Linked DNA regions of Saccharomyces cerevisiae S288C. Changing the gene in region 2 together with the main gene of any one other region gives a genetic interaction. Each region holds a gene or a part of one and is shown on either strand. Other genes may lie near its edges. The genes, in order: SGF11, SNT1, SET2 and UBP8.

What was found.
Region 1: mutations in SNT1 (region 2) and SGF11 together harm fitness less than expected from each alone (positive genetic interaction), as found in Saccharomyces cerevisiae (4 studies listed by BioGRID).
Region 3: mutations in SNT1 (region 2) and SET2 impair growth when combined (synthetic growth defect), as found in Saccharomyces cerevisiae (6 studies listed by BioGRID, with this or other methods).
Region 4: mutations in SNT1 (region 2) and UBP8 together harm fitness less than expected from each alone (positive genetic interaction), as found in Saccharomyces cerevisiae (6 studies listed by BioGRID, with this or other methods).

What each region holds. Positions count from the first base shown.
Region 1 is NC_001148.4:460,059-466,761, reverse strand, and holds SGF11 (SAGA histone acetyltransferase complex subunit SGF11), read right to left. Parts: upstream 801-6,703; coding exon 501-800; downstream 1-500. Other genes in the region: ELC1 (elongin C), read left to right, coding at 1-118; CAM1 (translation elongation factor EF1B gamma), read right to left, coding at 1,114-2,361; DIG1 (Dig1p), read left to right, coding at 2,923-4,281; mannosyltransferase complex subunit MNN9, read left to right, coding at 4,796-5,983; Arf family GTPase ARL3, read right to left, coding at 6,203-6,703. UniProt on the Saccharomyces cerevisiae protein: Component of the transcription coactivator SAGA complex. SAGA acts as a general cofactor required for essentially all RNA polymerase II transcription. At the promoters, SAGA is required for transcription pre-initiation complex (PIC) recruitment.
Region 2 is NC_001135.5:182,755-192,883, reverse strand, and holds SNT1 (Snt1p), read right to left. Parts: upstream 6,396-10,129; coding exon 2,715-6,395; downstream 1-2,714. Other genes in the region: exosome non-catalytic core subunit RRP43, read left to right, coding at 1-1,050; fatty acid elongase ELO2, read right to left, coding at 1,249-2,292; BPH1 (Bph1p), read right to left, coding at 6,861-10,129. UniProt on the Saccharomyces cerevisiae protein: Part of the Set3C complex, which is required to repress early/middle sporulation genes during meiosis.
Region 3 is NC_001142.9:97,341-106,277, reverse strand, and holds SET2 (histone methyltransferase SET2), read left to right. Parts: upstream 1-1,849; coding exon 1,850-4,051; downstream 4,052-8,937. Other genes in the region: ERG20 (bifunctional (2E,6E)-farnesyl diphosphate synthase/dimethylallyltranstransferase), read right to left, coding at 206-1,264; ASG7 (Asg7p), read left to right, coding at 4,499-5,128; TOH1 (Toh1p), read left to right, coding at 5,384-6,574; CPS1 (Gly-Xaa carboxypeptidase), read right to left, coding at 6,811-8,541. UniProt on the Saccharomyces cerevisiae protein: Histone methyltransferase that trimethylates histone H3 'Lys-36' forming H3K36me3. Involved in transcription elongation as well as in transcription repression.
Region 4 is NC_001145.3:714,808-718,630, forward strand, and holds UBP8 (ubiquitin-specific protease UBP8), read left to right. Parts: upstream 1-1,907; coding exon 1,908-3,323; downstream 3,324-3,823. Other genes in the region: FMP42 (Fmp42p), read right to left, coding at 1-638; FSH2 (putative serine hydrolase), read right to left, coding at 831-1,502; MRE11 (MRX complex nuclease subunit), read right to left, coding at 3,768-3,823. UniProt on the Saccharomyces cerevisiae protein: Histone deubiquitinating enzyme component of the transcription coactivator SAGA complex. SAGA acts as a general cofactor required for essentially all RNA polymerase II transcription.

The DNA.
Region 1 (6,703 bases), on a different chromosome or scaffold from region 2:
AAATTATAATTTGAAGTACAGCGGCGTTAGCGAGGACGATGATGAGATTCCAGAGTTTGAAATACCGACAGAAATGTCGTTAGAGCTGCTACTTGCGGCGGACTATTTGAGTATATAGGTACAGGAAAAACAAAAAAGAGTTAGGAACTCTTTCAAAAAATTATATTATATGGGTGTGATGTTGCAGCATATTACTCTGATATGTAGAAAATTGAATGCATTGTTATAGCGTACTTATGTGTAACCCTTCCACATAACGGAATGCAAGGTATCATTTGGCATCATATATGGGAGGTGCTATTATAAAAACATGTAGTTAATAGCTAAAACAGTTTTCGCCTTCTCTCTTTGAGATGTTACCACATAACTACATGAACTTCTATGTGCAGATATGCCGCATAAAATGTAAGAATCTTGCTTTTTTTATGAACCTATGCCCACAAGAAATGGGCTAAAATCTGTCTGTGCCTTTTCAATTACCCATAAACCACCACCTAGTGTCAACGTCTAGCACCCCTACTCAAACATCTCTGTAAATGAGCTGCTAGTCTGTTTGCGGACACATCCCTGCCACAATTCTCACAGTGAATATACTGAGAGGACTCTTGTTGCTTCTGTAGTCCATTAATATCGAGAGATCCGTTCGGGTCGAAATAATAACTGCGAAGATCCGGATATCTTGTCTTCAGCAATTGTTGTTGAGTGGTTTCCCGAGCTACAATGTCCTGGATCAATGTGGTTAACAGGTTATTCAGTATCCCATTTGAAATAGAATCTATAGTAATAGTTTCTTCGGTCATCGCAACAGGAAAACCCCGTAACCTAAAGAATTTGAAGGATTATTATACTGCTCTGCTCAACGGAAGAAACGCTAAGTTACTTCTTCGATTCCTCAGAATCAAGAAAATAAGCAAATCACTGCTATACATATAATACATGCATCTATTATATAACAATAATCCAAGATACGAAAAGGAAAACTTGATTTTTTTTCTGCGGAAGTTTCAGAGCAGAAAAACTCTGTTACCCTATATTGCGTCATAAATAAGATATAGATAAAACTACCTAGCATACTTTATAATAAAAGGCGACATGAAGGATAGTACGAAGAGATTATTTTAAGACCTTACCGTCAACAATTTCCTTTGGTTCGCCATTGACGGAAACTGGCTTATCCCAGGCCCACATGTTATTGATGAATTCTTTGTCGTCGTCGTTAGTTGGATCCAACTTTGCATAGTCGTAAGATTCCCAATCTGGTGCGACATCGAAAGCTGGAACGTAATCTTGGCCCCTAACCATAACTGCACCAACAATACCGTTGTTGTTGTTTTCACCGTAGACTACCAGACAACCGAACATGTACTTGGTAGAGGCGGACAATCTGTTGAAGAAACCACCGACCAAGTTGTTGGACATGAAAGTCAAAGTCAATTCATCGTTGTACTTGTAGGTGACTTTCCACAGGGAATACTCTTCTGGGTTGTAGTGCTCCCAAAACCAAGGTAAAGCAACTGGTCTGGTGTCTTCATTGGAGTACTTTCTCTTCCAGTCATCCAAAACGAAAGTTGACTTGCCCAATAATTCTAATGGGTGCTTTGGTTTCTTGGAAGAAGTTTCAGTTTCGGTAGCAGCTGGCTTGGCTTCCTCCTTCTTCTTCGAAGCGGCGGGAGCGGCGGCTGGGGCCTTCTTTTCCTTCTTCTTTTGAGGGGGACTCAATGGCTTGTCAGCGAACTTGAAATCCTTGTATTCATCCTTCAAGAAGGGTGAGGCTCTAACGGTGTTGAACCATCTCACGATGGCTGGATGTTGAGCTCTCCATTCAGTACCGAACAGGCTTTCAAAGTATCTGGTGAAAATCGAGGCAGCCACCAAGTCGGCCAAGGAGATGTTTTCCGTAGCCAAATAGGTGTAGTTTTTCAATCTGTTCTCGAAGATGTCGACGATCTTGTCAACAGCGTCCATCGCAGAATCAACGCTCTTCTTGTTGTAGGGGGCGCCGCCCTTCAAGGGAACGATGGTGTTGGCAATCTGGATGCACAGATCACTGTTGGCCAAAGATTGCCATCTGATGATTTGCGCTTGGGCATTTAAGTCATCGTCGGCACCTAAAAGTTGAGTCTTCATCTTGTCGTCCTGTGAAAGCTTTACTAAATAATAGTTAATCGCCATTGCCTCGGTTAGCTTGTAACCCTTTGGACCCACGAAAGCCGGAACCTTCTTCAAGGGAAAGTCCCTTGCGAACTGTTCAGCGGCGGCATCTGGCGTAACAACCTTAACGTCCAGCTTCAAAGCCTTGACAAGACCTCTTGGGACCCAAGTTCTAATTCTGAAGTTAGCATATAAAGTACCTTGAGACATGGCGTGCAAAAACTGTATCTGATCTTGAGTTTCTATGTTCTGTATGCTCTAATAACAGAAAATACAATAACAAGGAGGGAAGACCAATTTGCGGGCTGCCAAGCAACACAACCAAACCCTGCTGATAAACGAAAACAAGAAAACTAATAAAAAAATAAATAAGGAACTCTACAAGGACTACACTAATCATGTCTCACTCCCGCGGATTGAAAAAACGAAAGAAAAAAACAGGAATCAACGCCCAACGACCTGCAGCAGCAAGCGTGAGAAATTCCCCGAGTGGGTCACCGCGAGCGGAAGATGAAACAAGCAGCAGTCGGCTTGCACAGGCCTTGCATGTATGCGTTGGTGGGCCTTGGGCTTTACTTATAAGCAGCTGCTTCGCCACTTGATACGGTTGTTCTTTACATCTGTTTCTCGCTGGGGGAAGTTTATTAGGTTTAGTTTTTCCGCTTTGTGCTTTGCGTTTTTTTAGCTTATACAGAAGAAACGCACTTAAAAAGAATCAAATCAGTAACAAATTTTGGTATTGTTTCTCAAAGAAGAAAATAGAAAGTGAGAATGGCCGTATCAGCCCGTTTGAGAACGACTGCCGAGGATACATCCATTGCTAAATCAACACAAGATCCAATTGGTGATACAGAAATCAGTGTAGCAAATGCTAAGGGCAGCAGCGATAGCAACATTAAGAATTCGCCAGGCGGAAACAGCGTTGGTCAGGAGTCGGAGCTAGAGCATGTCCCTGAGGAGGATGACTCTGGTGACAAGGAAGCAGATCATGAGGATTCTGAGACAGCCACTGCGAAGAAGAGGAAAGCCCAACCATTGAAGAATCCGAAGAAATCATTGAAGAGGGGCAGAGTCCCGGCGCCTTTGAATTTATCGGATAGCAACACTAATACACACGGTGGTAATATTAAGGACGGCAACTTGGCTTCGTCTAACTCTGCACATTTTCCTCCTGTTGCTAATCAAAACGTGAAAAGCGCGCCCGCACAAGTTACTCAGCATTCCAAGTTCCAGCCCCGTGTCCAATACTTGGGAAAGGCCAGTTCTAGACAATCTATACAAGTGAATAATAGCAGCAATAGTTATGGGAAACCACACATGCCCTCGGCGGGCATCATGAGCGCCATGAACCCTTACATGCCCATGAATCGCTACATAATGTCACCATATTATAATCCGTACGGTATCCCTCCACCTCACATGCTGAACAAGCCCATAATGACACCCTACGTGTCGTATCCATATCCAATGGGACCGCGGACCTCCATTCCTTATGCTATGCAAGGTGGCAACGCTAGGCCCTACGAAGAAAATGAGTATAGTGCTAGCAATTACAGAAACAAGAGGGTTAACGACTCATATGATTCGCCTTTGAGTGGCACCGCTTCCACTGGGAAAACCAGACGATCCGAGGAAGGCTCAAGAAATTCTAGCGTAGGATCAAGTGCGAATGCCGGTCCTACGCAACAGCGCGCGGATCTACGCCCAGCAGATATGATACCTGCTGAAGAATACCACTTTGAACGGGATGCATTACTCTCGGCCAACACGAAAGCCAGAAGCGCAAGCACAAGCACAAGTACAAGCACAAGCACAAACCGGGACAGGAGTTCATGGCATGAGGCAGAACCCAATAAAGACGAAGAAGAGGGTACGGACTTGGCCATCGAGGACGGAGCGGTCCCCACTCCCACTTTTACTACGTTCCAGCGGACCTCGCAGCCGCAGCAGCAATCACCTAGTCTTCTTCAAGGCGAAATCCGACTCTCATCGCATATTTTTGCCTTCGAGTTCCCCCTGAGCTCTAGCAATGTAGACAAGAAAATGTTTATGAGCATATGTAATAAAGTATGGAATGAATCAAAGGAGCTGACAAAAAAATCATCATCACATCACAGAACCGGAAAATAGTAGCCACACAGGCACTTATAAACTTACATACACTCGCATACACTCACCTACTCACACACGCACTCACACACACACTCTCACTCGCACACCAAGGACAATTCAGTACATACACAATTTTTATATAAGTTTGATAAACTAAAAGATGAGGGTGAGTATTCACCTTATTAATAGTTACAGCCTTTATCGTCACTAGACACGACAGCATTGGTTTGTCTTTTTTTTTTTTTTTTTTTTTTCCTTTCCATCGTTGTAGCGGATTTGGCGTTGAAGTATTTTGATATAAGTAAAACAGAACACCAAATCAAGAATAATAAAGGAGGAAAAGTCGTCAACCAAGCGGATTCTCAATTGGTAGAAAAGCTTTTATTATTTTCTGTTAGCCGCTCTTGGGACCCGTTATTTCTGAACCTATTTTTCCTTCCGCACTTTGTGAAAGTAAGAAGAGAATAGCATCAATTTTAGTATTTTTCAAACAGAAGAATTTAAAAGAGCTAGAATAAAAAGTTAGGAAACAATGTCACTTTCTCTTGTATCGTACCGCCTAAGAAAGAACCCGTGGGTTAACATTTTTCTACCTGTTTTGGCCATATTTCTAATATATATAATTTTTTTCCAGAGAGATCAATCTCTGTTGGGACTTAATGGCCAGTCCATTTCCCAACACAAATGGGCACACGAAAAGGAAAACACATTTTATTTTCCCTTCACCAAGAAATACAAAATGCCAAAGTACTCTTATAAGAAAAAAAGCGGCTGGTTGTTCAACGATCACGTGGAAGATATTATCCCAGAAGGTCATATTGCACATTATGATTTGAACAAATTGCACTCTACGTCAGAAGCAGCTGTCAATAAGGAGCATATTTTGATATTGACTCCAATGCAAACATTTCATCAACAATACTGGGACAATTTGCTGCAGCTAAATTACCCTCGGGAATTGATTGAATTGGGGTTCATTACACCAAGAACAGCCACTGGTGACTTGGCCTTAAAGAAATTGGAGAATGCTATTAAAAAGGTTCAAACGGACAAGAAAACTCAAAGATTTAGTAAAATTACTATTTTGCGACAGAATTCCCAGAGTTTTGATAAGTTGATGGAGAAGGAAAGACACGCTTTAGATGTTCAAAAGGAAAGACGTGCAGCAATGGCTTTGGCGCGCAATGAATTACTATTCTCCACCATAGGACCTCACACTTCTTGGGTGCTGTGGCTAGATGCCGATATTATAGAGACACCACCATCTTTAATTCAAGACATGACCAAACACAACAAAGCTATCTTAGCTGCAAACATTTATCAAAGATTTTACGATGAAGAGAAGAAGCAACCATCAATCAGACCATACGATTTCAACAACTGGCAAGAAAGTGACACCGGTTTAGAAATAGCCTCTCAGATGGGTGATGACGAGATTATTGTCGAGGGTTATGCAGAAATTGCCACTTATAGGCCATTAATGGCTCATTTCTACGATGCTAATGGCGTACCAGGTGAAGAGATGGCGCTGGATGGTGTTGGTGGAGGCTGTACTTTGGTCAAAGCAGAAGTTCACAGAGACGGTGCCATGTTCCCTAATTTCCCATTTTATCACTTGATTGAAACAGAAGGTTTTGCTAAGATGGCGAAGAGATTAAACTACGATGTATTTGGCTTACCAAACTATTTGGTTTATCACATAGAGGAAGAGAACCATTGAGCAACTGAGCAAAAAGCATACAGAAGCTATAGCGTTATTGAAAGATAATATTGTTGCGATTATTAGTTGAAAATAAACAAAACAAGATATATATTCATATATATATATATATAATTTACACATGTATATTAAAAAATGCCGAATAAAAAGTGCTACAACAACTAATTTCTGAGCTTGAGAATAAACCATTCACATTTTATTTCTTTTGGTGCTTCTTTATCATTTATAAATCGGTGGTCTTGACTTTTTATTCCTTTCTAGTCTAACAATCATCCATTCTATAGCGTCTTTAACACCTTCTCCAGTCAATGCGCTTATTGGTAAAACCCTACTATCTCTAGCGCTTATATGTTCCGCAATCTTATTAAATACTTCTTTTATATCTTGTACTTCCATTCTATCTTGTCTATCTTGTTTATTGGCCAGCATCAAGATGGGTACACCTTCAATTTCTTCATCCATTACAACTGACTGTAGGGTCGTGGAACATTCGTCTAATCGTTCTCTATCTGAACTATCCACAATGAAAATTATACCATGACATAGGGAATAGTATTCGGACCACATTGATCTCAGTGATTCTTGACCACCTACATCCCAAAACTTCAAGATCTGTTTACTGTCAACGGGTATTGTCGCCACATTTTGTCCTACCGTAGGCTGTATCTTTTCCAAGGCTTTGAACGCCAGAGAGTATTCCTTTTTCAATGTCTCCAAGAA
Region 2 (10,129 bases):
TATGAAGAATTTAGAGATGTTGCTATAGAAAATAATACTTTATCGCGTTATGCGGATGCTGGTAATATAGACACTAAAAACAACATTTTAGGCTCAAATGTTTTGAAAAGTGGGAAAACCATAGTCATAACTTCTATTACGGGTGGAATAATAGAAGAAACTAGCGCCGCGATTAAAGATTTGGATGATTTCGGTGAGGAAGAATTGTTCGAAGTGACCAAAGAGGAGGACATAATTGCAAATTATGCTTCTGTCTATCCGGTGGTGGAAGTTGAAAGAGGTAGAGTGGGCGCTTGCACCGATGAAGAAATGACTATATCACAAAAACTACACGATTCCATATTGCACTCTAGGATATTGCCTAAAAAAGCCTTGAAGGTAAAAGCTGGTGTTCGTAGTGCGAATGAAGACGGTACGTTTTCCGTCTTGTATCCCGATGAATTAGAAGATGATACGCTGAATGAAACAAACCTGAAAATGAAAAGAAAATGGTCATACGTTTTGTATGCGAAAATTGTAGTCTTGAGTCGCACTGGTCCAGTCTTCGATTTGTGTTGGAATTCTTTGATGTACGCTTTACAGAGCGTAAAGTTACCTAGAGCATTTATAGATGAGCGTGCGTCCGATTTAAGAATGACTATAAGAACAAGAGGAAGAAGTGCCACCATAAGAGAAACGTATGAAATTATTTGCGACCAAACTAAGTCAGTACCGTTAATGATAAACGCAAAGAATATTGCATTTGCTTCAAATTATGGGATAGTGGAGTTAGACCCCGAATGCCAATTACAAAACTCTGATAACTCTGAAGAAGAGGAAGTGGACATTGATATGGATAAATTGAACACTGTGCTAATAGCAGACCTAGATACTGAAGCGGAAGAAACAAGTATACACAGTACGATCTCCATCCTCGCTGCTCCTTCAGGTAACTATAAGCAATTAACATTAGTGGGAGGAGGCGCTAAAATAACGCCAGAAATGATAAAAAGATCATTGTTGTTATCTAGGGTTAGAGCGGACGATTTGTCAACAAGATTTAACATATAAAAGACTCGGATAAAATTATCTGATGACTGTCGAAAGGAAACGGAAAACTTTTTTCAACGATAACATGTGTATGTAATATATAACAAAACCATCCGGTCTTTTACAATATAATAATAGTGATAATAGTAACAATAGATCCACTAAGAAAAAACGAATATACGAAAGTTGAATACTTAAATTCTTTCAAAGATTTTACACTTACCTTTTTCTTCTGTGTTGAGGTTTTGGTGATGGAGATGGAGTAGGAACGTTTTTCAAGTCAACGTTAACATACTCATTAACCTTTGCGGCAACACCGCCGTGGGCACGCTTTACCACTCTACTGGTTTTGGTGCCTTTACGTTTATAAACGTTAATGTAAAATGAAATAAATAGTACCAAATATGAAGAAATAATGGCACAACCTGCAAAGGTGGCAGTTGTTGAACCCACACAGTCACCACAATGTGGCAAAATTGGGAAATACAAGTGAACTGCTTTTTGGTAGACAGCAAAATATATGAAACCGATATCCAAAACAAATTGGATAATTTGAAATCTGGTAACCCATTCCTTCCACCAGACCCTGATGCCTCTGGCAGCCAAGAAATAGTACCAATACATAACCACGTGAACACCAAGGTTCAATGAAATAGGGACCCAAGAAATAGATGTGGTGCCCATCAATTGGGTGTAACATAATAAGGCAGTAGCGCCATGGTGATAAGTATGCAAAAATGTCAATTTTTTATGTTTTAGCACCAAGAAAAAGGTGTCTATAAATTCAATAAACTTGACAATGTAATTCATGTAATATAATGTAACGAGCGGTTGAGTCCAAGCACCAATATTACAGATAGCGAAGTATAACCCGTGCTGAACAATAATTGGCACTAATTGTTCAACCATAAGCAATAAAAGCGTCAATGAAAGTGAAGTTAAAACCAAATTATGCAATTGGAAAAGGCCATTTAATTTAAATGGTTTCGACTTACTTAACAAAAACCTGCCACCAAAAATAATAACGTAATAGGCAGTGATGGCGTATAGCACAGGGGGCAAAGTGCTTAATGGTAATTCACCTGCAATGAATTGGAATTCGCTTGGAACAAATCTACCGTTAGTTACACGAGTGACGACATCATCGAAATGTTCCCACAACGAAATATTAAAAAATGGTCGCTCCAAAGTTGGTAAATAGTCATGAAGTTGGGGATAACGCTCGAACAACGGAGCAGCATATTGAGTAACGAGTGAATTCATGGCTTCTAGACGAAGATAATTAGTTCAACCTTTTCACTTTGTACAAAATTGCTTGTGGATAATAGTGAAATGAAAAATATTTTCCAATTTTTCATTGACTTTTTCGCGATGTTTATTTCTCTGTGGGTTTTGCGATTTTCAGCAATGGCCGCACGCCAGGACATGTGAATACGTACAAAAATAAAATGTGACATATTTACACGACACTTAAATAAAGTCGTTTAAAATCGGAAAAAACTGTATAATGCAGAAAAAATACGAAATTACAATTATAATTAAAAACTCCTCCCTTTATATATATACATATATATATATATAATATAGTACACTAACACACGTAAGGTAATGTATGCTCGAGAGTTTCACCAACCATTGGATGGAAAAGAAGTAGAGCATATGTATTGCCCGTCTCAGCCGTTTGTTCAATTATTATTTTCCTTTTTAGATAAAAAACTGCTCATTGCATCTGGCGCGGAGGCAACCGCAGCCAAAGCTGCCAACGGATCATTCGAAAAATTGAACTTTGGAGGCGCACGACTTATTGGACTAGTGCGAGGGGCCGGTAAAGGGAAAGTAGGAGTGCCTTGAGAAATAGCATGCTGAAATGGCAGCAACGGCCTTCCATCTGGGTTTGATTGCCCATTCCCATTTACAGGATTTAGTAATGCAGAAATAGAACTCGATCTTGGCGTAGTAATATTCGGTTTTATTTCTTGTACTACAATATTGTTCATGCTGGGAGTGTCTTCGAGCTGTGCTTCGTGTCTTGAAGCGCTTTGGAAAGAAGATTTCATGCTTCGATCCGAATTATTCAATAGATTGCTGATTGTCGTCGATTTACGGCCAATGTCAATTGCATTCCTTTCATTACTGAAGTTTTGATTATTTGTTACTGACGAAGCTGCATCAGCCAACGTGTCAATATGGTCTAAGGGCCTGTTACGCAAATCTGTCACTGTAGGTTCTGCCATTTCTGAACGAGGAAACTGAATAGATGGTAGTCTTGGTGGTGGTAAAGTGGTTAAAGGAGCACTAATTTTAGAAAAGGTATCACGATGAAAATCAGGCCCAAATGGTCTTATAGAGCCATCGATAGATGAAATAGATGTATTATGCCCATGAGTTGGTTGTCCAACAAAATAACCCAAAGCCGGTCTTTGTTGAGGAGGAATATTACTATAGGCATTGATGTTTGGTCGTTCTGGTTGTATCAAAATTTGAGATTGTTGTACAGATTCTGAACTAGTCCCATCTCGCTTTAAGTCGGTTTCATCAACCAGTAATTTCCATCCATTGCGAGCTGCATTTCTTTGGTAGTAATTCCTTACCATTGTAGTAGATTTGGTACCCAGTTTTTCTGATATGAGAGACCATTGAGAGCCAAACTCCTTCAACAATTCTGGAAAGAGTTGAGATTCACGAACACTCCAATAACTTGTTTTATGCTCTGGTGCAGATTTGTGTTTCTTTCTCTGTAACGCATTCTCTAAACTGAAGTCAAGTTCTTTGGTCTCCTCTGGATAATAACCATTCTGAACAGCTCCTTTTGGATCCATTATTTGTACCCCATTGTTGGTTTCTATTACACTGGACTTATTGCTCTCTTCTCCAACTTCATCATGCGCCCTTTTTAAGTCGTTTACCCTCTCAGCATTTTCCAATTCACCTGCAAACTCTTCGCCTCTCTGTTCAATCATATTTTCAACTTTTTCCGGTGTACCTAATGGATCACCTTTCACTTCAGAACCTTGAACTAGAACCGGCTGAACATTTTCCTCGGCATTGTTCTCACTTTTTTCTTCCTTCTCTATCGTGTTCGTTGACTCTTCTTTACTCTCATCAACTTCGACTTCCTCGTCATTACTTCTTTCCTTCCTCTTGCGGCGCTTGGCAGCGGCTGACATTTTTCTTTTCTTGTTCTTATCGATAAGAAGTTGTTTATAATTCACAGTTTTCTTTGTTCTATAATAATGTAGGACACACTCTTCAGGACTTCTTAAGCCGCCCATGTAGTGAGAAATTTTACCAAATTTTTTAGGATGAATTAAATAACCCTCCAAAAATAAAGAGTGCTCATGGTCAGTAAAGTTGTCAGAGGCGTCTTTCAATATTCTAGACGCCCAAAGCTTTTTGTCTGTAACCAAGTTATTTACATCACAGAATTTGTAAGAGTGTTTGCGGATTGGATCTAAAATTAGCGGAGGAATTGTTGCAGCAGCCTGATAATGTTTATAATTTGGGTCGATTTGTAGCAATACATTTTCCATTTCCGCATCATCAACGAAGTCAGCCCTATTTCTGCGACGAGATGAGGAAGACGAGGATGGATGCCGTAAGCTTTTTTCCTTTTCTGTTTCGATACCTTCTTCACGTCTTTTCTGCTCCATTAGTTCGTGCTCTTTACGTTTATTTTCGATTTCTTCCTTCCTTAAATTTTCACTCAGTTTAGTCAAAATTTCGCATTCTTTTTCATACTTCTTCTGGAGATCGAAATAATCATGTTTTAAATTTATTTTTTTCAAATGTTCTTCCTTTTTTATCTTTGATATAATTTTCGTCAAGATAAGTCCGGTAGCCTGCTGATGTATAAGTTTGTTCTGTGCGTAAAAAGGATACTCTGAGAAATTCCTAATTGCCTTTTTCAGTAAGTACTTTTGTTCACTTATTATTTTGTTTCTTTTCTGGTTTTTCAATTCCCATAATCTCGTTTCTGCTTTTGGTAATGGGAAAATACACCCCTCCACTTTTTCAAGAGGTTCTTCGTAACTTTTATTATCATTGTCTACTGTCAACTTTGTTACGTCTGTTTTCAGGGCTTTCGGATCGTATGCTCTTTCATAATCTCTAATTTCTGGGCTTTCCTTCCTTTCAACAGAGCGTGTTAGTTCCTTTTGACTTTCTTTGGAAACTTCGACTGCACTGGCCACTGTTTTTGCCGTCGTCCAAATTTCGTCCTGCTTTCCATCAATATTGATTTTACTTACTTTTTTAGCGCGAGCTTCTAGTTCATCATGCTCTTTCATTTTTACAGGAGTAGGATGTTCCTTTGCTATCTCACGCCCACTTTTATGTACTTCTTTTTTCCCCAATGCATCTTCTTCGCCAACCTTGATATTATCGGGTTCTAAAGGTGCATTAGGTTTAGAAACTGATTTTCTTGGTGGAAAATTGTTATCATGGTACGATATGGCTTTTGTCTCATCTTTACTGGGTGTTTCAACTTTAACTGAAGCCTCTGGTTTGTCCAATTTATTCGCATCGTGAAATTTTTTAGTATGAAGGGAAGGCGATGACTGTGAATGAGTTGATTTTAAAATAGTAGTACTATTTGCTTTCCAAAAAGGTTCCCTTTGATGGATCGAGTTAGTATTGCTGGTGGTCGTCATATTGCCGACATGATTATCAAATGGTGGTCTGGAAGGCGTTCCAATGGATCTCCATTTGTTGCTCCTAGAGTAATAAGAATGAGGGCTGTTATTATTAACAGATGAAACATTATTTGTTTCGAGCTTGTTCGTTACATCAGGACTATAATCATCCATTGATCGAGGTCTCCGAGAACTCCCGTTGGCAACATAAAACGGTGGAGCGTTTGATAATGCCGAGGGAAAGTGGGTAACGTTTGTAGAACTAGTAGATTGAGGATTATATCTGCTCATGGTTTTTCGAGAATAGCGTGAGTTTCCGATATCCGTATTGGTGTGTGTTATGGTGCTCGTATTCATACTTTCCGGAGTTGAACTAGTGGTTGAAGAGGATCTTTCCACATCTGGGTTATAACGGCTTCCAATTTTTCTTGTTGACGAATAAGATGATGACGAAGGCCTACTGACTGAGCTCGGATCATATCGAGATGGCCTGGGTGCTTCGATACCAAACGTGCTTCCAGGTGCCGCTGTAGGAAGAGGTACAGATGCAGTACTGGGAGTTACAGACGGATTTGTTGAATTATCGGCAGTAGGAGAAGATACAAATCCATTATTGCTTGATTTTGGAAAGCTATTCTTGGAATAAACAGCGGAAGGATGCCTTCGGTTAGGATTATTGGAATAATGGTACCTTTTCTTATCTCCAAGCCTTCGTGTAGGTGGCGGATACCCCATGTTTCTTACGCTTTGTTTCTGTTTGCTGTTCTATGCACAAGTTAGTAGGCAAATTATTAAGCAGGCCCTTTCGGAATAATTTAGTGGTTGTATATTTTGCTTGTTAAGGATTCGAGCAATATGACGGCTTCTTTCCCACTGCCTGTCTTAAACAATGAGTAAATTTGAAGGTGGTGCACAAAGTCAATAGTAATCCGAATTTCTGGTCTCTATTAAATCTGCGGTTGCGTTTTGATTTTTACATAATTCAAAGAAGAATTAATCGTTTGTTTTTTTCTTTTACCCTTTTGCCGTTTTCCATAGGCGAAATGGAGAAGAAATACTAGAAAAAAATACCCGGCGTTGGTAATGATATTGGATACGTACGCAATTACAATACTAGATGGGATGAGAAATCAGTTTCAAAAGTAAAGATATAAACTACAAAAATTGAATCATTTAAAGAAAGGCGTTACGATGTGATGCCTAGTACCAAATAGCTAATCTGCCATCTAATGTTCCCGCAATCACTTCTATCTCATGAGGCTCTGCTGTATCCTTGCGTCTTTTCTGGGACAGGTATGTCTTCCCCTGTCCCTTAATGCTAGTTATGGCTTTCCCTTTTTCGGTACAGAGCTGCTTCAGTAGCTTTATCGCCCATTCATTATGAAAATTCAAAAAGAGCTCGTAAATTTCTATAGTTCCATCTTCAAAGCCCACTAGTAGTATTTCCATCTCTTTCCAATAGATATGCTTTCTGTAACCTGCGTCTAACTTAGTGAAGTCAAAAAAATCAATTGAGCTTACAATTTTAGCTGGTTCGAATTTCTTTGATGTATATATTTGTCCATTTAGATTGAAGATCGAAATGGCGTTATTCTTAGTCAATACCATAATGCTCCCTGCATGTTGAGATATTGCGACCTTTTGCGCATCATTTGTTATTTGCCTTACTAGTTCGAAATTAATCATGTCCCAGACATATACTAAGCCGCTGATGTCTAAGGTTAAAAGCGTATTGTAGTCGTGATAACAGCGCATCTCCTTTAGCTCGCATAGGTGCCCAAACATTGTTTTTTTGTTCTCAAGGTTACCTGAAACCGAATGCTTATCTTTACGATATTTCCAAACTTTTATCAGCCCATTTTTATCGCCAGTTATGAATTCGCCCAACTTCCAGTACGCAAACGATGTAATCTGAGCCATATGCGTCTTTTTAAAAATATCTAGTCCAATTTTTAACCAATTTTTATGCACAATTCTCAATGACACTAACGATTCTTCCGTTCTGAAAAACAAGTTTGGGAAAGCGAAGCCCCTCCAGTATAATGAATCGAAGTAACTAGGATCGTGTATAACATAATCGACGGACCTGTTCTTTTCATTCAAATTAAAGATTGTCTTCTCAAATATTGGCTTCATTGGAACCTTACGCCATACCTCTGTTGTTAGCTGTTGAACATTGCAGGCTATTTTTTCCGGATGAGGTTCCTGAAATATTTGTAAAGGCGTTTGACCAAAGTTGTGAATAATGCCTGTGATAGCTCTGCGCTCATTTTCATCGTCAATGTTATCTAGATTTACAGCGCCTGGGTAACTCAATCTGTTGAATACGTTAACAGATTTCACAGCAATGTCCCCCTTTTGTTTGTAACCAAATATCAAATCAATCCATTCATGTAAATGTGCTGATACATAAGGACTTTCTAAAGCTTCTCTATTCTTTTGAATGAAAACCTTTGGGTCACCATTTGCCCAGGGTGGAAGTACGACGTCGTCAACTTTTTTACCGCTTTGGTCTGTACCAAAGTCATAACTATTAACGTTGATCAAAAATTCAGGTAGAAAAAAAAATTCAGGTGTCAATTCCCTGACATCCGTTGTATTTTCAGAAGAAGCAGAGCTCCAGGCCCTTTCAAGCGAACTAAATAAACGATCTGCAGGGCCAAAACTTCCGCCTTGCAATAACAAAAAGGATTCGACAAAGGGCTTCAGCCTTATCAGATATGAAGATACTATCATAGCTGAGGAATAATGCGTGCCATAATGAAATGGTGCGGAATCAGCATTTTCCAGGGAAGCCAAAGCTTCATAACGCTCTATAAACTGTAATTTCCTTTTCTCACTTTGAGCGCCCATAGGTTTCGATAGGTCCCGGTAAGTTTTAGGATTCTCTAAATCGAGTACGTTACTTTCGTAATCTGCAATAACCCACGGAAACACTGGATATTGGGTCAAATCGTTGAATGACCTTCCCGCTAGGATGTTGATACTCAACAGGTAATAAAAATTAGAAATCTCTCCCCTAACCCATTTTTTGCTGATCTCAAATCCATCTATTAGGCTGTTGTTCGCTGAGAAGACGCTAGTGAATTTAGAAGCAATGCTTGCCTTTCCTATTCCATTTCTTGCCACTATACTATTTCCTCGGTCGTTTATTTCTTGTAAAACGCTTGAAAAAATTGGATCTGCTGGAAGGTGCTTCGGGATCTTATTCAGTACCCGTAAAACGTCATCTCTCACTCTTTTGTTGTAAAAACTAAAAAAAGCGCTAACTCTCTCTTTGAACAATAATTCGATGGCGACATCCCGAAGTAGAAAGGGTCGTTTGGTAACGAAAGTGATATCGAGAAGTTTCCAAACAAAGACTTCGTGCTTTAGGAAAGTTGATACCCTTTTAACATCAGGGCCGTTAATTAAGCTAACCGTCATATCCCGTGATTCTTGCGATACTTCTGATAATTTTAGAATCTTTTTATCCTCTAAACTAAAATAGTAATCACTTACAAAGTAAAGGTAATTACTGCCATGAATTAAAATCCCCTCCTTAATTTCTAATCCAATAATCAAACTGCAATTCCAAATAGTTGCAATGGAATCGTTATCCTTCAAAAGTCTAAGAATTTTTCTATTCTCATTCAAATCTCCAACTGGCTCCGACTCAAGAGTCTCCATATGTTCGATAAATTCGTAGGATAAAATGCTTCCACTTTCTCTCCTTTGTCTGTTACCACCTGTTATAGTATCTTGATTAGCATCTTCCTCGTTAATGAGTGGTTCATATTTTGGTTCCCAAGCAGGCAAAAGCCTCCGTTTCATCCCATCAAAATCTTCTGCAAAGTCCGATGACCACTTGCAGGACGAATTTGGATTTGATTGTATCTCCAGTGTATGTTTCAGATGAAAAATCAAAAGATTTAAATTATTTCGATAGAAAACTGCATTTTCTTCTCTATCCGTTTTGAGGTTGTAAGTGTATCTTGATATGGACTTTTTGATTTTAAAATCTAAGGATGTGTTGTCTTTTCTAAATAAAATAAGGCACTTTTTATTGTTTTGGGTGACGTATTCTGATCTTGCATTTTTCCATTCGTAAACTTGGTTTTTGATCTGTCTAACGCTTATTGGAGAAAAATTGTTGTTCTTAAACAAGATATTGGTGACAATGTTTATGAACCGTACCTGTTGTGTATTGTTGAAAAAAAATGGGTATTGTTCAGTTATGAGGTTCATTGTTTCAGAGTTATTGCATGAGAGGATATTACTTAAACCTTCGAGTACTTCACTTTTATTCGCTGGGTCAAAAAAACACGCCACCTCCTTTAGTTTCCTTTCCTTGTTCTTAATGATCACTTTCATACAATTGAAGACTGCTTTGTTGTATCCACAATCACGTAATCTGTTGGCAAAAAATATTAACAATAAGCCAACGGTCTCATTATCACATGCTCCATGTGCAAATAAAACTTCCTGAT
Region 3 (8,937 bases), on a different chromosome or scaffold from region 2:
TTTCCTTCTCGTACTACCCGTAATTTCCGATCACGCATTTCTTCATTTTCATTGGCTTAAAAAAAATCCTTGGACTAGTCACGTGGAACGGTAGATCGAGAGATACTATCTTAAAGCTTATACTATATTATATTGGAAGTATATAGTTCTTATACATGGTCCTTATCTAGTTTGAAATCTAATGTTTTATCGATTAGCGTTAGTTCTATTTGCTTCTCTTGTAAACTTTGTTCAAGAACGCAGTTAAGACATCAGCTTTGAAGCCACGAGACTCATCGACCTGAGAAATTTTGGCCTTCAAATCCTTGGCAATAGACTCTTCATATTCGTGGTATAGCTGTTCAATTTTCAAGTCATTGAAAATCTTTTTGCATTTGGCTTCTGCGACTGAGTCCTTCTTACCGTAATTTTCGTCTAAAGTCTTTCTTTGTTCTGCGGAAGCAAGTTCCAATGCCTTGTTGATTACCCAAGAACATTTGTTATCTTGGATATCTGTACCGATCTTACCGATCTGTTCTGGGGTACCGAAGCAGTCTAAGTAGTCATCTTGAATTTGGAAGTATTCACCCAATGGAATCAAGACATCTCTGGCTTGTTTCAAATCCTTTTCATCCGTGATACCGGCAACGTACATGGCCAATGCGACAGGCAAGTAGAAAGAATAGTAAGCAGTCTTGAAAGTAACTATGAAGGAGTGCTTCTTTAGGGAGAACTTACTCAAGTCGACTTTGTCTTCAGGTGCAGTGATTAAGTCCATCAATTGGCCCAATTCGGTTTGGAAGGTGACCTCATGGAACAATTCGGTGATATCTATGTAGTATTTTTCGTTTCTGAAGTGAGATTTCAAAAGCTTGTAGATAGCAGCCTCTAACATGAATGCGTCATTGATGGCAATTTCCCCAACTTCAGGAACCTTGTACCAACATGGTTGGCCTCTTCTGGTAATGGACTTGTCCATCATATCATCGGCGACCAAGAAGTAAGCCTGCAACAACTCAATGCACCAACCTAGAATGGCAACCTTTTCGTATTCTTCTTGCCCCAATTGTTCAACGGTCTTGTTGGAGAGAATAGCATACGTGTCCACAACGGACAAACCTCTATTTAGCTTACCGCCTGGAGTGTTGTAGTTCAATGAGTGGGCATACCAGTCACATGCTTCCTTAGGCATACCGTAAGCCAAAAGCGATGCGTTCAATTCCTCTACTAATTTAGGGAAAACGTTCAAGAATCTCTCTCTCCTAATTTCTTTTTCTGAAGCCATTTCTACGTAATATTTTTGAGTTTATTGTGCCTATGTCAGTCCAATACCTGTTGGTTGAGTTTTTAAAGTTAAAATGAAAACTGATAGAAGAACAATCTATCATAAAGTATTAGTTTCGACATGCGTTTATATATATTTCCTGCCGTTGCTTCCTCTATTTATCGGTCTTTTTCAACAAGGCGTTTCGTTTAGAACCGACGAGAAGAAGCTGACTTCGACTATTGAAAAAAGAATGCTCAATGATATTGCTTGTCACTTCATCAGTATTTAAAATATGTGTAGAGGACGGTGAATATACCGCTTAGAATACCTCACACTGTATATCGCAGTAATAAGGACAGTATCCGTACTTTTACAGATTTGTCACGTGATCAATATCACCTTTAACGTTTTTTTTTTTTTATTCACTGCAAACATGTGAAAAATTCCAAGAAACTATTAGAATTATTGGTAATTTGGTGGTTATTTATCAGAACGTAAGGTCACGTTGGCAGCTTTTCAAAGGGGCTTTCGAACGTGTGATAGAAAACTGCATAGTCGTGCTGTCAAACCTTTCTCCTTTCCTGGTTGTTGTTTTACGTGATCATGTCGAAGAACCAAAGTGTGAGTGCGTCGGAAGATGAAAAAGAAATACTGAATAACAACGCTGAGGGCCATAAACCTCAAAGGCTTTTTGATCAAGAGCCTGATCTCACAGAGGAAGCATTGACCAAATTTGAAAACTTGGATGACTGTATATATGCGAACAAGAGGATCGGAACATTTAAGAATAATGATTTCATGGAATGTGACTGTTATGAAGAATTCTCAGATGGCGTCAACCATGCCTGTGACGAGGATTCTGACTGTATCAATAGACTTACGTTGATAGAATGTGTCAACGATTTGTGTTCATCTTGTGGTAATGATTGTCAAAATCAGAGATTTCAAAAGAAGCAGTACGCTCCGATAGCCATATTTAAAACAAAGCATAAAGGTTATGGCGTAAGAGCCGAACAGGACATAGAAGCCAACCAGTTCATTTACGAGTACAAAGGTGAGGTGATCGAGGAGATGGAATTTAGAGATAGGTTAATAGACTATGACCAACGTCATTTCAAGCATTTTTATTTTATGATGTTACAGAACGGAGAATTCATTGACGCCACAATAAAGGGTTCGTTGGCCAGATTTTGCAATCACTCTTGCAGCCCCAATGCATATGTTAATAAATGGGTTGTTAAGGATAAGCTACGCATGGGAATATTTGCTCAAAGAAAAATTTTAAAAGGTGAGGAAATCACTTTTGATTATAATGTGGATCGTTATGGTGCTCAAGCTCAGAAATGCTACTGTGAGGAGCCAAATTGTATTGGGTTTCTCGGTGGTAAGACTCAAACAGATGCGGCATCTTTATTGCCCCAGAACATCGCTGATGCCTTGGGAGTGACTGTTTCCATGGAGAAAAAATGGCTAAAGTTAAAGAAATTAAGCGGTGAGCCAATAATAAAGAATGAAAACGAGAACATAAATATTGAATTTCTTCAATCATTGGAAGTCCAACCTATCGACAGCCCAGTGGATGTGACGAAGATCATGAGTGTATTACTACAGCAAGATAATAAGATAATTGCATCCAAACTCTTGAAGAGACTTTTTACTATCGATGATGACTCTCTTCGTCATCAGGCTATCAAACTACACGGTTACACCTGTTTTAGCAAAATGCTTAAATTGTTTATCACGGAACAACCTCAGGTAGATGGAAAAGGAAACGAGACTGAAGAAGATGATATAAAGTTTATAAAGGGAATTTTAGATTTTTTGTTGGAATTACCAAAGACAACTCGAAACGGTATTGAGTCGTCACAAATTGATAATGTAGTAAAAACTCTCCCTGCAAAGTTTCCATTTTTAAAGCCAAACTGCGATGAGTTATTGGAGAAATGGTCGAAATTTGAAACATATAAAAGGATAACGAAGAAAGACATAAACGTCGCAGCCAGCAAAATGATAGATTTGAGAAGGGTGAGATTACCTCCAGGCTGGGAGATCATTCACGAAAACGGTCGCCCATTGTATTATAATGCAGAACAGAAAACGAAACTACACTATCCACCTTCGGGATCATCTAAGGTCTTTAGTTCAAGGTCAAATACACAAGTAAATTCTCCGAGTAGCAGTGGAATACCAAAAACGCCTGGCGCTTTAGACTCTAAGAAACATAAGCTGAGTGACGAAGAATATGAGAGGAAGAAACAAAAAAGACTGGAATACGAAAGAATTGCGCTAGAAAGAGCCAAACAAGAAGAATTGGAAAGCCTGAAGCAAAAGCTAAAGCTTGAGAATGAAAGAAAAAGCGTTTTGGAGGATATTATAGCGGAGGCCAACAAACAGAAGGAGTTACAAAAGGAAGAGGCCAAAAAACTAGTGGAAGCAAAAGAGGCTAAGCGGTTGAAAAGAAAAACGGTCTCCCAGTCCCAAAGACTAGAGCACAACTGGAATAAATTCTTTGCATCTTTTGTACCCAACTTAATAAAAAAAAACCCACAAAGTAAACAATTTGATCATGAAAACATTAAACAATGTGCTAAAGACATCGTGAAAATCCTAACTACAAAGGAACTTAAAAAAGATTCTTCAAGAGCGCCGCCTGATGACTTAACCAAAGGAAAAAGGCATAAAGTTAAAGAATTCATAAATTCATACATGGATAAGATTATCCTCAAGAAGAAGCAAAAAAAGGCGTTGGCATTATCATCAGCATCAACAAGGATGTCTTCTCCTCCACCTTCAACATCATCATAATTAACCAGACATGCATATTTGGGGCTTGTTTCACGTTTTCTGTCCCAAAGGAAGTCTTGTACTTTAATTGTAATTGCGATTTGTAATAAGTAATTTTTTTTGTCTTTACCGTTTATTTCTTTATACATTTTTGGTGCATATATTTAAATATCCGCATTAGTGGGCTATCAGTAGCACTGTAATGATAGGTAATGTGACACATCTTCTCGACAGATATTATTCTTGAAAAAATCGTGCGTTTCAAGTGTCTTTATTTTTTTGCTGTCAATAGAAGTGTTGAAATGACTTTGAAACGTAATTACCGCATCGGGAAATTTACATGTTAACTGCAATGAAAACAAGGAATATACGGGGAACATATAAAGGGTCAGCGTCGTTGACTAGTCTGTCATTTATATTGTGCTTGTACATAGGACTACAAAAATTCAAAGAATGACGACAAGAAACATGACTACTTTAGCATCAAGTATTGAGCATAAAACAAAACATCTAGCCGCGCCCTTCGAGAACGATGAGAACCCTTGGATGAAAAAATACTGTTGCCAATGCAAATCATGTAAAATGAGTGTGCCTGTCCAACCTTGGCTGCCAAGGTTTTTTGTTTTTGGAATCTTGTGCCCCGTTTTCTGGTTGGTGAATCTTTTAGCCTGGTGGTTCTTACAGTATTGGCAACCACATGAATTGGAATTCCACGACTTGCAAGAAGACGAATACCCAGGATTTTATGAATATGAAGCCATAACTAAAAGAACGGTGATACCCATAAAGGAAGAAGTCCTCCAAGAGATTCGCGTCATGCAGAATTTCAGTGATAGCAACAGCGAAGAATATTACGAGAGCAAAGACGGTATGCCGTCGTCTTTCCTAAACGTGAACACGGAACAAGTCGAGGACGAGAATGACACCTTGAAAAAATATCGTTACGCGTTTTTGAAGAAGGTAGCCCACGATGTGCTGGAGTCGCACGATTTATTACGTAAGACCTTCCGCGACTGGAATTTACGGTCTTTGCTTGGCCTCCTCATCGATTCTATACTCATAATATTTGTAGTTCTCCTATGTAAGAAAAGCCGTTAGGTAGATCTAAAGACAGAAAATGATATCAGCCTCTTTCTTTTCCACAGCCTCCATTTCCCATTTTTGCTGTATCTGCAAGGGTTCCTTTTTCCATTTTTTTTTTTCAAAGTCTTGGCTCCGCCCTTTTCTTTTGTCTATTTTGCCGAGCTTAGGTTATTTATAAACCTGAAAATCCTCGAGAAACAATCCTTATCGAAGGAAGCAGCCATAATAGAACATACTCAAGTGCAAACATTACAAGCTTAAATAAGACAAATGTTACAGAGTATAGTCCTTTCCGTGTGCATGTTTATGTTGCACACAGTCGCTGCCAGTGGACCTCAGTCGTACCAAAAGTTGGATTTCACTAATGTTGGTTTTACAGGCTCCTACGTAGATGTGAATAAGTTTAAAGATATCACCAACAATGAATCGTGTACTTGCGAAGTGGGTGACAGAGTATGGTTTAGTGGTAAGAACGCTCCACTAGCAGACTATTTATCCGTTCATTTCCGTGGACCATTGAAGTTGAAACAATTTGCTTTTTACACATCCCCTGGATTTACCGTCAACAACAGCAGAAGTTCTTCTGATTGGAACCGTCTTGCCTACTATGAGTCCAGTTCCAAAACCGCTGATAACGTTACCTTTCTAAATCATGGAGGTGAAGCTTCCCCTTGTTTAGGAAATGCTTTGTCCTACGCTAGTTCTAACGGTACTGGCAGCGCCAGTGAAGCTACCGTTTTGGCAGATGGCACTTTGATTTCTTCAGATCAAGAATACATAATCTATTCGAATGTCTCATGTCCAAAATCAGGTTATGATAAGGGTTGTGGGGTTTACCGTAGTGGCATTCCAGCTTACTATGGGTACGGAGGTACAACAAAGATGTTTTTGTTTGAATTCGAAATGCCTACTGAAACTGAGAAAAATAGCAGCTCTATTGGGTACTATGACTTGCCTGCTATTTGGTTGCTAAACGATCACATTGCAAGGACTTCTCAATATCCAACCAATGCCAACTGTTCATGTTGGGCTAGTGGATGTGGGGAATACGATATTTTTGAAGCTATGAATGGTACGGAGAAAAACCATCTCTATTCTACTTTCCACACTTTCCAAGGTATCGAGGATTTGGGTACTGGTATCCAATCTTACGGATACATAACAAGAAATACTACTGGAACGATGAAAGGTGGTGTTGTTTTCGATTCTAGTGGAAATGTCGTTTCTTTCATATCTGATGCCACTCCATTCAATGGAACTGTTTCTGCTGATACTGTTAACGATTTATTGGCTGCAATTCCAGAAAACGAAACCTATTCTTCTCAATTGATGAGCATTTCTGCTACTGCGCCTTCGACCACCTCGAAGTCGAATGGTGTTGCTTTAACGAAGATGCAAAACGGTGTATGGTATTATATTTTGGCCATATTCACTGCCTTTACGCAAGTGGTTTTGATTTGATTTAAGTCATTGTATGGTCATATTATCATCATCATTTAAATTTTGATTTGACACTTGATTTGACACTTCTTTTTTTTTTTATTTATGTTTTGTTTAACTGACGGTGTTTTTTTTTTTACGTTATACTGATACATATATAGACGTGATTTATTTAAATAAAAAGTTCTATGAAAAAAAAAAAAAATTAAAAAAAAAAAATTAAAAAAAAAAAATCTTTGACTATTCAATCATTGCGCTTAAGCGTATTCGTTAACATTAACGATATACTCGTAAACAAAGGCAATGGCAGATAAATGACCTGGGACATCCACGTGTTCATTAACCGAATGCAATGTCTTCAGTAAATCAATATCAATGATAGAGCCAACAAACCTATAAATGTTCTTGGACAAATTCCAGTAGTATTTAGTATCGGTGTTACCAGAGAATAAACCAGTAGTCACATAGAACTCTTCGTTGTTTTGTAGAACACCGTTTTCAAAAACATCTTGAATAGTACCTGCCAAAATGTCCCAAACAGGGCCTGAACTTGGCGAAAGTGGTGCTGGTTCCAATTCTCTCAAGAGAGTAATGTCAATGTGACCTAACTCGGTTTCAGGGATAATGTAATCGTCACCGTTCTTAGATAAACCATAGCCATACTTCTCAGCAATCTTTTTCGCATATTCTATGTTTCTTTCAAAGACTTCAGCCACAGAAGAATGTAAATTAATTCTGTGATTGATCAAGAATCTGGTAGTTTCGGGCAGAGCATTAGCTTTAACACCACCATTGATGATATCAACAGCTTGTGTTGTTCTTATTAAGCTGCGCAAATGTGATTGGTTGGAAATGTACTCAACAAGCTTGTCCTTCCTTCTAGGACAGAATGGTGCGCCCAAAATTGTCTTCTTCACATCCTTACTTAAAGATTTAGAATGTTCAGCAGCACATGTCAACAATCCATAGATTGGATTGTCAAACTCAAATTCGTAGTCAAATGGGTTGGCTTCAAATTCAGTAATCAGTTCTGAAGCGATACCGATTGTGGTATGATCAGGTGGGACAGAGGAATGACCACCATGGCCTAGAATACTGACTTCGAAGTCGACATAGCCTTTTTCAGCGTTGATTGGAGTGGCAACAAAGACATCCTTGTCGACTTCCATGATACCTTCACCCTCGTCAATGATACTGTAAATACCATCATCACCATATCTTTCGTGAAGAAATGAGGCTAAGCTGGCAGCACCGAGGGTGCCGCTTGCTTCTTCATCAAAACCAAGCGACATAACAATAGTTCTGTTGGGCTTGAATCCATCTATCAACAGTTGTTCGATAGCTTCAAACTCGGCAATTAACAAGTTCTTACAATCGTTAGAACCACGCCCCCAAACAAAATCTGTTTCTGGATCATAGTGACCAGAAAATGGAGGGAACTTCCAGGATGATAAAGTTTCGTTGTTTACAGGTACAACATCTTGATGGGCCATTAACAATAATGGTTTTAGATCAGGATCAGAACCTTCCCATGTGTATAGAAGACCCAGCTCATTGACTTTCTCCAATTTCAAATGCTTGTGAATATTAGGGAAAGTCTTCTCAAAATAGTCGTGTAGTTCATAAAAATGCTTATAGAAATCCGGATCATCTGCGGGGTTGGGGTTTTTGTCTTGGACTACAGTGGGGATTCTAACAGCATTGGACAGTTTCTCAATGGAGCTGTTTCTAAAGGCAGGGTCATGAAGAATTGTGTCGACGGAATGTTTGAATGATGGACTTAATGGTTCAATCTTCTCACATTTGGGTGAGTGCATGGGACCTTTTCCATGGTGTGGACGCTTTGCCTCATGAGGTGGTGCTGGGTGGAGACCCGAAGTGAGGAAGAAGGTGCCGATGATAATAAGGGCAACTATTCCACTAATAAAGGCTCTGTGCCTTTGCCATAGGGACTTTCTAGGGGCCTTCTCTACTGGTAAGGCGATCATAATGTAATTGTTAGATGAATGATTCCTTAATGTGATGATGCAGGATTAGTTTTACAATGGGAAGAGACGTATTTGGGGTACCCGTTTCTTTTATATGTCATAAACTTTCTTGCCCGACCTTGGAAGGCTGTATCGTATTTTGCCCAAAGGGGAAAATAAAAGGCCGCTATGATAAGATAAGGGTGGCGAGGCTGAGATAACAAGAAGATGTTCTGAGCATTGAGCATTTAGGATAACAGTGCACAAGATCACGCGGTTCAATTCGTCACGTAAAGCTACTAGAAGTGGGTGTTTCTAGTAGCCTGCAAAAAGCGTCGTTCTAAAGAAACTTTTTTCAATGACACATTTACTGAAAATAGAAAAAGACTATCTATTCGTAGCTGATTTTCAAAATCC
Region 4 (3,823 bases), on a different chromosome or scaffold from region 2:
GTTTTGTAGGAAGAATGAGGCATTATCGTGAGTTGACAGGCAAGAATAAACACTGGAACAATCAAATATAGGGTGAAAAATCTGGAAACGTTCAAGGTAGGAAACCAGTTTTGATATAACAACCTATATAACAGAAACAGCGCAGATGACGAATCAAATGATCCTGTTAGTAGGGCCAATACGGTTCCTGATCTTTGTGGGAAGCTATTTGCCAATTGAAAACATGAAATGAAGACGAACGGACCGGCAACTGCCAAAAGCGTGTAACCGACAAGATATGGGTCCCAAAGAGACACTAGATGCTTGGCAGAAATAAAATTACCGCTTGCTAGGAACAAGAGACATGATCCTATTATTCCGCAGACACGAGGTCCATACATATCCAAAATCTTACCGACAGGAAGGGCCATGATGTTTGTTACAGTAGCACTGAGAGCAAATATAAAATTTAATTTCAGATCCTGTGCAGTACATAATAATCTATCACCATCCTTAGGATCACACAATTCATGGTATACACCTTCTGAAATTAAAATAGGTTTCAAAGCAGCAAATCCAAAGATAATACCAGCTGAAAAAAGACACCAGATACAAGCACAGGCAACCTGTGCGTATCTCAACGTTCTTGTACTGGTCATTACAGTCTTTACTGCCCTAATACTGGCCTAACGAGGAATAAAATCATTTATAGATGCCATTGTTATCGTTATCATAATGAAGCATCGTATCGGTAGTTAAGTTAATTTGACGTATTATTACCCGGAGGATTTAATCATGTATAAATATGTATGTGAAGATTATGTGAAGATTACGTGCTATATATACTTGCCTCAGGTCAACTGCTGGAGCCATTGAGCCACTTTTCTCACAAACCCTCTTGAGTTCGGCACAAAGTGGCCCCCAGAGTGCATTAGTAAAGTGCGAGAGTCTTCCGTACAAGAGTTATATAGGCCTTGCACTTTGGCCGGCTCTGTGATAGTGTCAAGTTCTCCTTGAACATGTAGAGATGGGACCGATATTGGATGCAGGTCGTACTGTTCTTGATACTGTTGTGGTTGGAACCTGAAACCACTGACCGCCATGAAAAATTCTAGCGGCGGCTGTTCTTCTGTTGTAAGGCCCAACAAACCATTGAAATCCGTTGCTAGGTATCCAGCTACACCGGCTCCTTGACTAAATCCTACAATACCTGCAAATGGACCATTTTCAAGGACATAATTGTGTAAATAGTCGATTGTCGTCTGCGGTATGAAATAGCCACCGGTGGAAGGGTCATTCTCTAGCCACGCAAGCACACCGGTATTCTCACCATCCCCAGGTGCATCAGCAATTACCTCACCCAAGAAATCAGGAACATCAGCTGGGGGAAATTCATTGGGTGCTGTTGGATAGTAGAGTTTATATCCTAACTTTTCCATTTCGGCGCGAAACCCCTTTGTCTTAGAGGCAAAGTAGTCACCTGACTGCGCAAGCCCATGTAACATCAATACATTCTTCGTCATGGTTACAGCTATTAAATCTTATAGTCTTGTAGTATTGCACATTCTTTCTTCACTTATACCTTTTTTTTCTTCTCTATTCTTCCTTTTTTTGCTTTTCTTTGAATTTTTCAAGTGAAAAAAAATCCTCGATTATAGTGTGTAAAAAGCATCAATAATTTATATTGTATATGGGCTAGAAAGCTGTCGTAATAGCAAAGGGATTATATTAGTGGACCTGATTAATTCTAAAAAGATATTTTACGGATAATAATAAAGGTTTTCTTTTGAGACCAGTTAGTCCATTTCTTTCAACTGGCTGTCATAATTTTGAATACTATTTATTGATCGGATCAAAAGGGAAAACTACAGCTTCGGTCCTCGTCGTCCTACTTGAAACCCTGCTTTTTTTATTTGTTATTAATAATTATGAGCATTTGTCCACATATACAGCAAGTATTTCAGAATGAAAAGTCTAAAGATGGGGTTCTAAAAACGTGCAATGCTGCCAGGTATATATTAAATCATTCCGTACCCAAGGAAAAATTCTTAAACACCATGAAATGTGGTACATGCCACGAAATAAACTCTGGTGCAACTTTCATGTGTCTACAATGTGGATTTTGTGGATGTTGGAACCATTCGCATTTTCTCTCTCACAGTAAACAGATTGGTCACATATTTGGTATCAACTCAAATAATGGCCTTTTATTTTGCTTCAAATGTGAGGACTATATAGGGAATATCGATCTGATTAACGATGCTATCCTAGCGAAGTATTGGGACGACGTGTGCACAAAGACCATGGTTCCTAGCATGGAAAGAAGAGATGGGCTTTCTGGCCTGATCAACATGGGATCCACTTGTTTCATGAGTAGTATTCTCCAATGTCTAATCCATAACCCTTACTTTATTAGGCACTCAATGAGTCAAATTCATTCTAATAATTGTAAAGTGCGTTCTCCAGATAAATGTTTTTCATGTGCACTCGATAAAATTGTTCATGAACTTTATGGAGCGCTGAATACAAAGCAAGCTTCTTCGTCATCTACATCTACTAATCGGCAAACCGGATTCATATATCTTTTAACTTGTGCCTGGAAAATCAATCAAAATCTAGCAGGGTATTCACAACAAGATGCTCATGAATTTTGGCAGTTTATAATTAACCAAATCCACCAAAGCTATGTTCTTGATTTGCCAAATGCCAAGGAAGTCAGCAGAGCAAATAATAAGCAGTGTGAATGCATAGTGCATACTGTGTTTGAGGGCTCCTTGGAAAGTTCTATTGTGTGTCCAGGCTGTCAAAATAATTCAAAGACAACCATTGATCCATTCTTGGATCTTTCTCTGGATATCAAGGATAAGAAAAAACTTTATGAATGTCTTGACAGTTTCCATAAAAAAGAACAGTTGAAGGATTTCAACTATCATTGTGGGGAGTGTAACAGCACTCAAGATGCAATAAAGCAACTAGGCATACACAAATTACCATCGGTTTTGGTTTTGCAATTGAAAAGATTCGAACACCTACTTAATGGAAGTAACAGAAAACTAGACGATTTTATTGAATTTCCAACTTATTTAAATATGAAAAATTACTGTTCAACGAAGGAAAAAGATAAGCATTCTGAAAATGGCAAGGTTCCAGACATTATTTACGAATTAATCGGTATTGTTTCCCACAAGGGGACGGTTAATGAGGGACATTATATTGCATTTTGTAAAATTTCTGGAGGGCAATGGTTTAAATTCAATGATTCCATGGTCTCCTCTATATCTCAAGAAGAGGTTTTAAAGGAACAGGCATATTTATTATTCTACACCATTCGTCAAGTAAATTGATTCAGCAAATAGCATTCAACAATAATAATAAAACAAAAAAGAAGAAAAAGCTATGCATATTCCTATCACAGTTAACGCTTGCTTCCGTTCTTTTTTCTATATCATCGTTTCCATCATGTTTTTCTTTAAATTGAATACTTTCCTATGCTCTTAATGAGTTGCGATTGTGCATATACTGTATTTCAAAATCCTTTGTATCTAACTAAGGAAGAAAATTACTATGACGTTTATTCAGGATTTTTTTTTTTCATTCCTTGCTATACGAACAAAAGAGCAAAGGCTGGAAAACTAAGTGAGTTTATATATAGTAATAATTAAAGAACATATCATTATCATGAATTTAGAATGCAAATTTGCTCCTCTCAAAATGGCATACCTTGTTGTTCGCGAAGGCAAGCCCTTGGTTATAAATAGGATATAATATAATATAGGGATCAAGTACAACTATTTTCTTTTCTTAGCAAGGAGACTTCCAAGAATATCCGTCTTTGGCGTCCTTG